Sus scrofa: one gene and its partners. The protein of the gene in region 1 interacts with the protein of each later gene in a biochemical or structural test. Links are inferred from orthologs where the notes say so. Each region holds a gene or a part of one and is shown in the gene's direction. Other genes may lie near its edges.

Region 1 (3,746 bases):
TGCACATTTGTTTCCAGAACTTGCATATTGTGAATAAAGCCACTATTGTGTGTGTTTCCAAGTGGACTCATAGGGTTTATATGTTTAATTTAAGGACTTCCAAGCATTTCATATGTTTAACTCATATGTTTAACTTAAGGACTGCCAAGCATTTCCCCAAATCTTTTAATCTCTCTCTCTCTCTTTTTTTTTTTTTGACTGCGCCTGCAGCATATGGAAGTTTCAAGGTCAGGGATCAAATACTACCTGCAGCTCGGACCTATGCCACAGCTGCTCACAAGGCTGGATCCTTAACCCACCACACCCACAACCCCCACCACAGCAAAGACACCTCTGGATCCTTAACCGGCTAAGCCACAGCCAGAACTCCTAATCTCTCTTTAAAACAGGAAAAAAAAGTAGTTCCCATCATGGCGCAGTGGTTAGCGAATCCGACTAGGAACCATGAGGTCGCGGGTTTGATCCCTGGCCTTGCTCAGTGGGTTAAGGATCTGGCGTTACCGTGAGCTGTGGTGTAGGTCGCAGACGTGGCTCAGATCCCGCGTTGCTGTGGCTCTGGTGTAGGCCAGCGGCTACAGCTCCGATTGGACCCCTAGACTGGGAAATCCATATGTCACGTGAGCGGCCCAAGAAATGGCAAAAAGACCAAAAAAAAAAAAAAACCAACCAACCAAACAAACAAAAAACAAAAACAGGAAAAAAAATAAACCTCTACTTTTTTTGGGAGAATATTTAATGGGCCCTAAGACTTTAAGTCTGTACCTGAAACAGTGGGCATTCAATAACTGCTGGCCTTTGCTGCCTCGGCAGAGCAGGCGGTTGGGGAAAACTGCGGTGAGGTACCAACCAGAATTCTTGAAAGGAGAGGGCGTTTCCACGCAGCACTCAGAGCCCACCCCCAGCGTGCCCAACCTTGTGAGACAAACTAGGCGCCCTGGCCCTTTCATACACCTATCCCCCCACCCCCGCACTCCAGATCGATCTTGCCTCCTCAGGCCCAGAACGTGTCGCCTGGCTGGGCACTTTTCATGACATCCGACGTTTATTGAGCACTGACTATGTGATAGGCCCTGGGTGAACGACCAAAAGACCCTCACCCCTCAAATTACTCAGCGTGAGGAATGGTAGCTTCGTGTGGGAAGCGTCGTGGACCAAGGCCGCCACAGTTTCGACTTGGTTTCTAACCAGACCCTGGACTTCCCCCTGGAAGTTGCTCGAGACAAACAAGAAAAGAAGGTCATCTGGTCATCTGCTCCTTTGCACTCCAAAAAGTACGAACCCAGGTCAGTCCCGAGCGCCCGTCCGGCGAGTCCAGGCCCCCAAACCACCACCGAGTACCCGCCCCCCGCCGCCCAGTGGCTCCCACTGGAGCCGAAACCCCGCCCCCGCCGTCTGGCCAATGGCCGTGCAGCTCCGGCCCCCACTCTCCTGTCCTGCTGGGGAGGGTTCCGGGCTATAGGCTACAGGAGGCAGGTTGCCTGGCCGTGGCTACCCCGAGGTAAGATCGCCGGCCCTGGAGCTCGGTCCTCTGGGCTCTGGGGCACGGACGCCTTTCGGGGAGGTAGCCCGCAGGGAGGGAGCTGAGTGGGAGTCGGAGTCCTTCGGGCCGCATGAGGCTTGGGGCGCCCGGCGGCCGAGAAGAGCGGATTCTTAGGCTCGTGGGGTTCGGGGCAGCGAGGGCTCCGCGCGCCGCAACCATCACTGAGGGCTTGGGAGGTGCGTGGCACCGGCGTCTGCTTGGATTGGAGACGAGGTTGGGCCGGAAGGAGACAGGCGCTGACTCCTGAGCCCCTTCCAGTCGCCCTCAGGTCCAGGGTGATCCCCAGGCGAGGCCTAGCCCGGGTGCGCTAATGTCTGGAGGCCGCGGCCGCGCTTGAGGGGTCGAGGACTGCCGCCGTCCCCTGGGTCCTGACTGTTCTCGGCGCTGACATCTGCTCAGAACAGCCCACCCGCCCTCTGAAGTCCTGGGTCTGGCCCAGGAATTATGGAATCCGAGCTGAGGCTGTGAGGCCGCGCCCCTTCCGGGAGGGTGGAATTTTCTTTCTGGAACGGACACACAGCCTCTGGTGCAGTCGGGGTAGAAACTCTCCTAGCCGCATCCATCAGGAGCACTCCGCCGCGCATCTTATCCGAGACCAGGAGGTGTCAGGAAAACAATGGAAAAAAATCAACATTCTTCGTTTGAAGGCTCAAAAACACCTGAAAGGACTTCTGAAAGGACCTGAGAACCCGGCTGCTGTAGTGGGCAGAGTTAGAAGGGCCTCAGATCTGTCCAAAAGATTCCATTCCCCACAAGAGCAGGGACCAAATTCTGCATTTTTCCCAGGCCACTTTCAGTCAGTCCTACACCTCCCCCACCCCCATCCCCAGCCAGGCAGTGACCTTGGGGTTTGAAGGCCTGGAGTCAAGTGAGTCTCGCTTGCTGCAGGGGTTTCTTTGCCCTGCACCGTGTATGATGAGTTTCAATTAGGCAACAAGTCCTGGGTTCAAATCCTGTTAGGCCACTGGTCAGCTGTGCAACGTGGCTTCATTTCTTAAGGGATTGTGGCAAGGATTAAATGAAAGAAATTTAGTATGTGCCTGCCAGTAGTGGACCCTTAATAAATGTGAACAGATATGGGGTTCCTTTCTTTTTGGTTGAACCAATTCATACCCCGATACCCCCAGACTCTGTGCCTCAGGGGCTGAGACTGGGATGCAGAAGAATGTTTCACCTGCCTCTCTCCTGATACCTCTCTGTATCCCACAGGAGGGAAGGGGAAATGGGTATATTTGCCCCCACAGTGTTCTTTGCTCATTTCCTAAAGGCTCAGGGGACCCCTGCCCCACCTCCCTGATCCTCTTGACCTCTGTCTTTTGTACTTGCCTCACGAGGGAAGTTGCACCTGGTGTTGGCAAAGCAAGTTGCGCAGTGTGTGGCTATGAGGCCGGTGGCAGCAGGTAGGCAGGACTGCTGCCCCATTTCACATGTGGTGGGGGACTGGCAGCCTCAGCAGCTTTACATTACTCTCTGCTCTGCAGCACTGTCTCCTAGAGCTCCCACCCAAGCTTGACACCCATGTTTCTACTCTAGCCTGCCCCCTCTACTCTGCCCCCTTCCCTCCCGGAAAAGCCCCTTGGATATCCAATAGCATCTCCAACTTCACTTGTTCAGATGGAGCCCTGGAGCCCCATCTGCACCACTGCTTCTCCCGCAGATTCTCTGGCTTGCTAAGTGGCACCCTCCATCCACCCAGTGCCGAAGGTGTCATTCCAGATCCTTCTCTCTCCTTCATCTCCTGTATCCACAAAATACCAGGAATCCGGCCACCCCTCACCATCTTCATGGTTACCATCCTGGTGTACCCCTCATGGGGTCCCTGCTGTGGCCTCCTGACATATCTCCCTGCTTCCATCCTGCCCCCTCCACAGTACAGGGTCCTTACAATCACTGCAGAGGTATATATATATATTTTTTTAAATTTTTTCTTCTCTTTAGGGCCTCACTCGCGGCATACGGGGATTCCCAGGCTAGGGGTCCCATCGGAGCTACAGCTGCTGGCCTACACCAGAGCCACAGCAACACAGGATCTGAGCCACGTCTGTGAACTACACCACAGCTCATGGCAACACCAGATCCGTAACCCACTGAGTGAGGCCAGGGATCAAACCTGCATCCTCATGGATGCTAGTTGGGGTTGTTAACTGCTGAGCCATGATGGGAACTCCACCACAGAGATCTTTAACATAAATCAAGTCTTCTCCTT
Region 2 (3,718 bases), about 6.1 Mb from region 1:
TATCTTTTGGTTAGTTTTTCTCTCATATACTTTTTCCCATCTTTTTACTTTTGATTTCCTTAGGTTTTAAATGTCCTCTTGTAAACAGCAGAGCTGCATTTTATTTTTCTTGGCCAATTTGTTCATCTGTTTTAACAGGTGAATGTAAAACATTTAATACCTCTGGTTTTGTACCATTTATATACCATTCTTTTCACTTTGCTTTCCCTTTTCTCTTTTTCTATCTATTACATTTTTTTAATACCCTTTACTAAACTTTTCTCTTTTATGCATTGACATATACTTTCTATTCTTTGAGTGATCCCTCTGAAGTGTTTGAAATACATACTTGACTATACAAAGCCAGGTAATTATCAGTTAGCTTTATCCTCTTCCTCTCCAATAAATCAAGCTTCTTAAAACACTTGACCTCTGACCCCCCTCCCCAGTCCTACATGTGCCATGCTCCTGTGCTATGCTCCAGACTCATCAGCACCATTCTTGTTCCACAGCAGGTGTTTGTTTAGATCCACTTCCCATTTTACCAGCTTAGTAGCTTACCATTTTTCTAATTTCTTCTCCTTAGAGTTGGGCAAATTCACTACAGAGTGTCTAGATGAGTTTTTATTTATTCTGTTCTGGATGTTATATGAGGATCCTGGTTTTTAATCAATTTTGGAAGTTTTTCTCCAGAGCTTCACGGTCTTTTCTCTCCTTCTGGAATGCTAATTAGACCTGTGAATTCTCACTTTGCCATTTCTGTCACTTATTTTATACCATGTAAACATGGTTTGTTTTCCAGGTAATTGCTTCTGCTCTCTCATCCACTTCAGTGATTTTCTTTTTTGCTATATCTAACAGGGCTTGCTTGCCTCGTCCTTCTGAGACCTGAATTTCAGTAGCTGTTTTTCAATTCTAGAAATTCCTTCTAAAACCTCTAGGTTCCTTTTCAGTGTCTTGCTGTCTTCATGTTTTAATGCTCACCCAACCCCCCACAATGACCACTACCTTTTTCTTTCTCTAACCATATGCTCCAGGATGAAGACTTCTGGTTCACTGTTGTCATCCCCAATGCCTCATACGGTCCCTGGAACAGAAAAGACTCTGAGCGAGGGCTGTCTGACGCCTTGGTTACAGTGGAAACAGAAGGATGCTATGCCGCAGCCTGGCCAGCTCTCCCCACCGCCAGACCAGCCAGCCTGCTCCCTGGCCTTGCTGGCGTCCATTCTCCCCTCACCCTGGGCCTGGGGGAGCCCACCTCGCCTGCCCCTGCACAGGCCGTGACGTCACAGGACTGTGACGCTCACTGGGCGCCTCCCCTCCTTCGCAGTGTGGGGTTGGGGGTGGGGGCGGGAATGCAGGCTCCCTGCGCCGTGATGTCACGGGCCCGGGCGGGCAGATTTTGCGTCGGCCCAATGGGAACGGCGCGCTGGCCTCCCCTTTAAGGAATGTTATGACCTGACGTCACCCGGGCGAGTTACCTCCCCGAGCCGCCGCCGCTGGGCTCAGCGCGAGCCCCAGAGCCCTTGAGCGGGAGACGCGGAGCCCCCGGAGCCCCCAAACCACAGCCACCTCCCCGCCTCGCGCGACCGGGAGCCCCGGCCTGCGCGCTCCGCCGGGCCTGTGCGATGCCCTCAGACCGGCCTTTCAAGCAGCGGCGGAGCTTCGGTGAGGCCCGACTGGCGATCTGCGAGCGCTAGGGGTGGGGGCGTGGGGGGGTCGGGGGTGTTGGCAGATCTACTTGTCTGCCGCAGGTGACGTCAGCTTCATGACGTCAAGCTCGGGTTGGACCCCTGGGCTGGGAAGCAGGCTAGGGCCTGGGCCCGGGCCTCCGCCTCCCATCCCAGTGCTGTGCCCCGGCCCTGGCCCTACCTCCACCCGCCTGGGGCTTGGCGGGGGGCGGGGCGGGGTCGGGGGCCGCCCCTCGGGGACTAGTGGGGCGGAACCCAAGGAGAACCTCGGCTGGCCTCATCCCCGACTGCTGTCTGCAGCCGACCGCCGTAAGGAGGTGCAGCAGATCCGCGACCAGCACCCTAGCAAGATCCCGGTGAGTCCTACCGCATACCCCGCCCCCGTCCCCTGGCCCCAGGTCCAGCCTCCCGCTCACGCGTCCCCGCCCCACCTCACTCCCAGGTGATCATCGAGCGCTACAAGGGTGAGAAGCAGCTGCCAGTCCTGGACAAGACCAAGTTCCTGGTCCCAGACCATGTCAACATGAGCGAGTTGGTCAAGATCATCCGGTGCGCTGGCAGCAGCTGTCAGGAGGGGGACTTGGGTCCTGCTGGGATCAGGCATTGGTCTGGGTCCTTCTGAGAAGGAAGGGGTGGGGGTGGGACATGGGACGGGGTGCCGAAGCCCTCTTCTGGGGAGGTTGGGAACGGTCAAGGTCAGGCCTGGGATCAGTATCTTGTCAGAGGTGAGAGCTTCTAGAAGGGGCTGGGATGGGTGTGAGGGGGAGAATCAAAGTCAGGGTGGGTAGGGGGTGAGGGCTACACTCACCCAGCGGCCAGGCCCCTCACGTTTGGCTTGCCCTCCCGCCCACCTCAGGCGCCGCCTGCAGCTGAACCCCACGCAGGCCTTCTTCCTGCTGGTGAACCAGCACAGCATGGTGAGCGTGTCCACGCCCATCGCGGACATCTATGAGCAGGAGAAGGATGAGGATGGCTTCCTCTACATGGTCTACGCCTCCCAGGAAACCTTCGGCTTCTGAGCCAGCAGTAGGGGGTGTTGGCTGGGAGTCGGGGGCCCTGTCAGGCTCTGCCCAGGGAGCTCCTGGCACTGGAACTAAGCTGTCTCTGCCCCTGCCCCTGGTGGGTTGGACAGGGATGCTGCCACCCAGCCAGAGGGCACCTATCACCCCTACTCTGCCCCTGGATGGATTCTGGCCCAGTCATATTAGGGTTGCCCCTCCGGGTGCTGGCTGGGAGGGGGAAGAGTGGGAAGCAGCCCCCAGCACCCCTGCCCTGTGTGGTTTGTCTTTTTTTTAGACCCCTGCCTGTCTGCCCACCTGTCCCTCCCCAACCTGAGGCGCTGCCCATGCCTGGATCTGCCCACCCCTGAAGGACTGGGTCCTGGCTCACCTGGTCTTGACATGGTGTATGGCTCTGTGGTCATTGTCCCTTTGCAGAATAAAGATTGCTCAGGCCTGCCTGGCCCTTTGCCTCCAGCTGCTTGGGGAGTGGGGAGGGCTGTGGGTGGGGCTGCCCCCACCGTTGTCCTCTCACTGGTGCACAGACTTGTGTGCTGTGGACTCAGGGCTCATTCAGGAAACCCACGCCTGTGTATAGTGCATCGTGGGGGTACTAGAGGCCAAGCCCACCTCTTCCACGAGGGCAGCATGGTTCCAGGTAGACGTTTTCATAACAAAAGAAACATTTATTAAGTAGCCACAGCCTAACAAACCCTGCTCACCTGCTTCTTCCCCTTTCCTGCTTGGGAGGGGCTCCTGGTGTGCAGAGCCACACAGTGGGGGCCAGGTGGAGACTCCTGGCTCCGCCCCACAGGCCTTGCTGCCAGCCTTGGCTCCTCACTGGTGCCAGATATTCATGACCCTGGACTCAAACCTCATCTGCCCCAGGGCTTGCCTGCTGGCAACGCTGGCTAGAGGGCTTGGCCCAGCTTCTGGGCCTTTCGCCCCCTGAGGTCCGTGCAGCCCTGTGCCCAGCCAGGCCTACTTGAGCACAAGCATGGCCTCCGTGCCGTCCTTGGCGGTCAGGTAGAGACCGTGTGTGAGGTAGTA
Region 3 (3,746 bases), on another chromosome or scaffold:
AGTAAAAGATCAGCCAGGATGGAGAACAGCCCTTTCAGAGAGGAAGTTCCTTGCTCCTCCCACTGTGCTAGGAATCCCCCCCCCAGCCCCGCCCCATGAGGGGAATGGTTGCTTTTCCTTATAAATAATGGGAAAGCCCCTGAGTGGGTGATTACATCTTCCACATTTGCACAAAACTCTTAAAAGGGTAGAGCCAAACTACAAGAGGCAGGGAATTACCCTCTTCCTTCCTTTCCATGTTTTTCCATGGTTCGGGCTCTGCATACAAGAGATGTTCAACGCATCACTGGTGACCTGCTGTGACCTTTCGGGAGGTGACTTCCAGCCCCTCTACTCCCTCCCTGAACAACTGCCAGTGGACTTTGGTGCCCTGGTCCTTCTGATCTCTGTTAATGGCCTCATAAACATATCTTTAATTAGTCCAAGGTTCAGGACAACTTGCCCCATTTTATAAGCAGGATAAATCCATTTACAATATCCATTTGTTCGCGAGAGGTAGTGAGGTAGCATTGCCCATCGGTTTTCTTCTTTATGATAGTCCCTACATTGGTTTTACTCTTTTCTTTTTGCCTTTTTTTTTTTCTGTTTATTTATTTATTTATTTTTTGCTTTTTAGGGCCACACCCGTGGCATAAATAAATTCCCAGGCTAGGGGTCGAATCGGAGGTCGAATCGGAGCTACAGCTGCCAGCCTACACCACAGCCACAGCAACGCAGGCTCCGAGCCATGTCTGTGAGCTACGCCACAACTCATGGCAATGCTGGATCCTTAACCCACTGAGTGAGGCCAGGGATAGAACCCGATCATGGATATGAGTTGTGTTCGCTAACCGCTGAGCCACGATGGGAACTCCTGGTTTTAATCTTTTCTATTATTCTTTTTTTTTTTTTTTAATCTTTTCTATTATTCCTTTTTTTTCTCTAGCACTTCTTTTCCTCCTTCCTGCTTCTCTGATGGACCCTTTGACCTTCATCTCCTCTGTTTCCTCCTTTTGTAGAACCAGTGTCCACAGCAGGATCCTAGACTCTCTGCAGACTTGACGCTGCCGTCGTCTCCATCATGGCTGGTCAGCAGTTTACCAACAAGCTTCAGGAGGAGGTGATCTGCCCCATCTGCATGGATATCCTGCAGGACCCTGCTACCATCGACTGTGGGCACAGTTTCTGCCTCCAATGCATCATGCGGAGCAGGGAAGGATTGGACAGCGTTATTAAATGTCCCCTCTGCAACAAAATTGTGAAGAGGGACACGATAAGGCCCAACTGGCTGTTGGTGAATCTGGTGGAGAAAATCCAAGCTATGGATCCCTCCGAGGAACAGCCAGAAGTGAAAGAGCTGAAGTGTCCGAAGCACGGGGAGAGGTTTCATTACTTCTGTGAGTCCGATGGGAAGGTCCTCTGTGTGGCGTGTTGTGGATCCAAGGACCACAAATTCCACAACACAATTTTGCTAGAAGAAGCTGCCCAGAGTTTTCAGGTAGGCATTTGGGGGTCCCTTCCCTGTTCCCCCACCACAGACCAGGAGTTCAGTGAGGGCCTGGAAACCGTCACCTCCTGCCTCTGGTTTGTACCGCATTGCTGCCATCTTGGCACTTGAGCAGACACTTCACGGTCAGGTCCGGTAGGTTCAAATGTCTGTGTGTGAAGAGCTGATGCCTGTTGAAGCCAAGGGGTAATGGAGAATGGAAAGAATGCAGGGATTTTGAGACAGAAGGTGTGGGTCCAGATTCAGACTCCTGAATTGACTCTGTGACCTTCAAGGAATTCCTTTACCTCTCTGTGCTTCGCCTTTCAAATGGGACAAACAAAATGTATTTTTAAAGAATTGTTGGTATGGGAGTTCCCACCATGGGTCAGTGGTTAACGAATCTGACTAGGAACCATGAGGTTGCGGGTTCGATCCCTGCCCTTGCTCAGTGGGTTAAGGTTCTGGCGTTGCCGTGAGCTGTGGTGTAGGTTGCAGACTCGGCTCGGATCCTGCGTTGGGTGGCTGTGGTGTAGGCTTGGCAGCTACAGCTCCAATTAGACTCCCAGCCTGGGAACCTCCATATGCCGCGGGTGCCGCCCTAGAAAAGGCAAAAAGACCAAAAAAAAAAAAGGAATTGTTGGTATGGCAAATGAGAGGTTTGTGGAAATGCTTCAGTAATCCCAAAGCACATCCAAATATTAGTCATTAATATATTAGTTATAATTTACTAGCACATTCCTTTCTAGTGCATCACTTAGGCTCCGACACTGCACCCCAGCCCCCAGTTTGAACAGCAAAGGTGGCTCTATTAATCTTTATACAAGGATAGAGTTCCCATTGTGGCTCAGTGGTTAATGAATCTGACTAGCATCCATGAGGACGCAGGTTCAATCTGGCCTTGCTCAGTGGGTTAAGGATCTGGCATTGGCGTGAGCTGTGGTGTAGGTTCAGATGTGGTTCAGATCCCGTGTTACTGTGGCTGTGACGTAGGCCGGCAGCTACAGCTCCAATTCGACCCCTAGCCTGGGAACCTCCATATGCTGCAGATGCAGCCTTAAAAAGCAAAAAAAAAAAAAAATCATTACACAAGGATGCACCCACCCTCCAGGGAGATCAGAGGGTGTCATGAGGCCAAGAAAACTCCAGGAATTGCCAAGATAACTCTCTCCCCACAGGGGCAGATTCAATCACAGGTGGAGGCCCTGCTGCAAAAGGAGAGGGCGATCGTTCAAATGAAGTTACAAGGTGACCAGAGGATCACTACCTTGATGGTAAGAAAAAAACTCAGGAGTTTCTGTCATGGCTCAGTGGAAATGAAAATGACTAGAATCCATGAGGATATGGATTCAATCCCTGGCCTCGCTCAGTGGGTTAGAAATCTGGCATTGCCATGAGCTGTGGTGTGGGTCACAGATGCGGCTCAGATCCTGCATTGCTGTGGCTGTGGTGTAGACTGGCAGCTCCAGCTCCTATTTGACCCCTAGCCTAGGAACCTCCATATGCTGTGGGTGCAGCCCCCAAAAGACAAAAAAGACAAAAAACTTTTAAAAAGAAAAAAAAGAAAATGAAGACATTGTAAACCCACCTAATTATCTTTACCTGTGTTGTGTGTGTGTGTGTGTGTGTGTGTGTGTGTGTGCTCACGCACGTGCAGAGGGAAAAAAAATCTGTGTGAAAGCCAATTATAAACTGAAAAGCCTTCTGGAAATGTGAGTACTAGATACCGAAGTATTAAGTGTTAGATATGTAGGTGCTATCAGACAAGAAACATAAACAAGTAACCCCAAACAAAAATGAAGCACATAGTAAGTGCTTTAAAAAATGCTGTTCTCGGGGAGTTCCTGTCATGGCTCAGTGGTTAACGAATCCAACTAGGAACCATGAGGTTGTGGGTTCAGTCCCTGGCCTCGATCACTGGGTTAAGGATCCGGCATTGCCGTGAGCTGTGGTGTGGGTCCCAGACGCTGCTCGGATCTGGTGTTGCTGTGGCTCTGGCGTAGGACGGTGGCTACAGTTCTGATTGGACCCCTAGCCTGGGAACCTCCATATGCCGAGGGAGTGGCCCTAGAAAAGGCAAAAAGACAAAAAAAAAAAAAATGTTGTTTTCTTCCCCTTTCCTTTTCTCCAGGTCTGTCATGCTGCTCAGGATAAACTTAATACAATGGAAACTGAGTAAAAAGGGGTAGAAGGAGCTTTGAGGCCACCCTCGCATCTTCTGAGTGTCCGTTTTCCTTGCCCCCAGGCCCAGGTCGAACAGGAGAAGCAAAAGATCAGCACG

The links.
Region 2: the proteins of MAVS (region 1) and MAP1LC3A form a complex in vitro, tested with the Homo sapiens proteins (2 studies listed by BioGRID and IntAct, with this or other methods). The link is inferred for Sus scrofa from reciprocal best matches to the Homo sapiens genes MAVS and MAP1LC3A.
Region 3: of the proteins of MAVS (region 1) and TRIM31, one has a biochemical effect on the other in vitro, tested with the Homo sapiens proteins (2 studies listed by BioGRID). The link is inferred for Sus scrofa from reciprocal best matches to the Homo sapiens genes MAVS and TRIM31.

What each region holds. Positions count from the first base shown.
Region 1 is NC_010459.5:31,866,904-31,870,649, reverse strand, and holds the start of MAVS (mitochondrial antiviral-signaling protein), read left to right. Parts: upstream 1-1,376; 5' UTR 1,377-1,498; intron 1,499-3,746.
Region 2 is NC_010459.5:37,956,375-37,960,092, forward strand, and holds MAP1LC3A (microtubule-associated proteins 1A/1B light chain 3A), read left to right. Parts: upstream 1-1,455; 5' UTR 1,456-1,607; coding exon 1,608-1,647; intron 1,648-1,970; coding exon 1,971-2,026; intron 2,027-2,112; coding exon 2,113-2,219; intron 2,220-2,526; coding exon 2,527-2,689; 3' UTR 2,690-3,131; downstream 3,132-3,718. Other genes in the region: PIGU (phosphatidylinositol glycan anchor biosynthesis class U protein precursor), read right to left, coding at 3,650-3,718. UniProt on the Homo sapiens protein: Ubiquitin-like modifier involved in formation of autophagosomal vacuoles (autophagosomes). While LC3s are involved in elongation of the phagophore membrane, the GABARAP/GATE-16 subfamily is essential for a later stage in autophagosome maturation.
Region 3 is NC_010449.5:22,678,348-22,682,093, reverse strand, and holds the start of TRIM31 (E3 ubiquitin-protein ligase TRIM31), read left to right. Parts: upstream 1-862; 5' UTR 863-1,060; coding exon 1,061-1,477; intron 1,478-2,643; coding exon 2,644-2,739; intron 2,740-3,710; coding exon 3,711-3,746.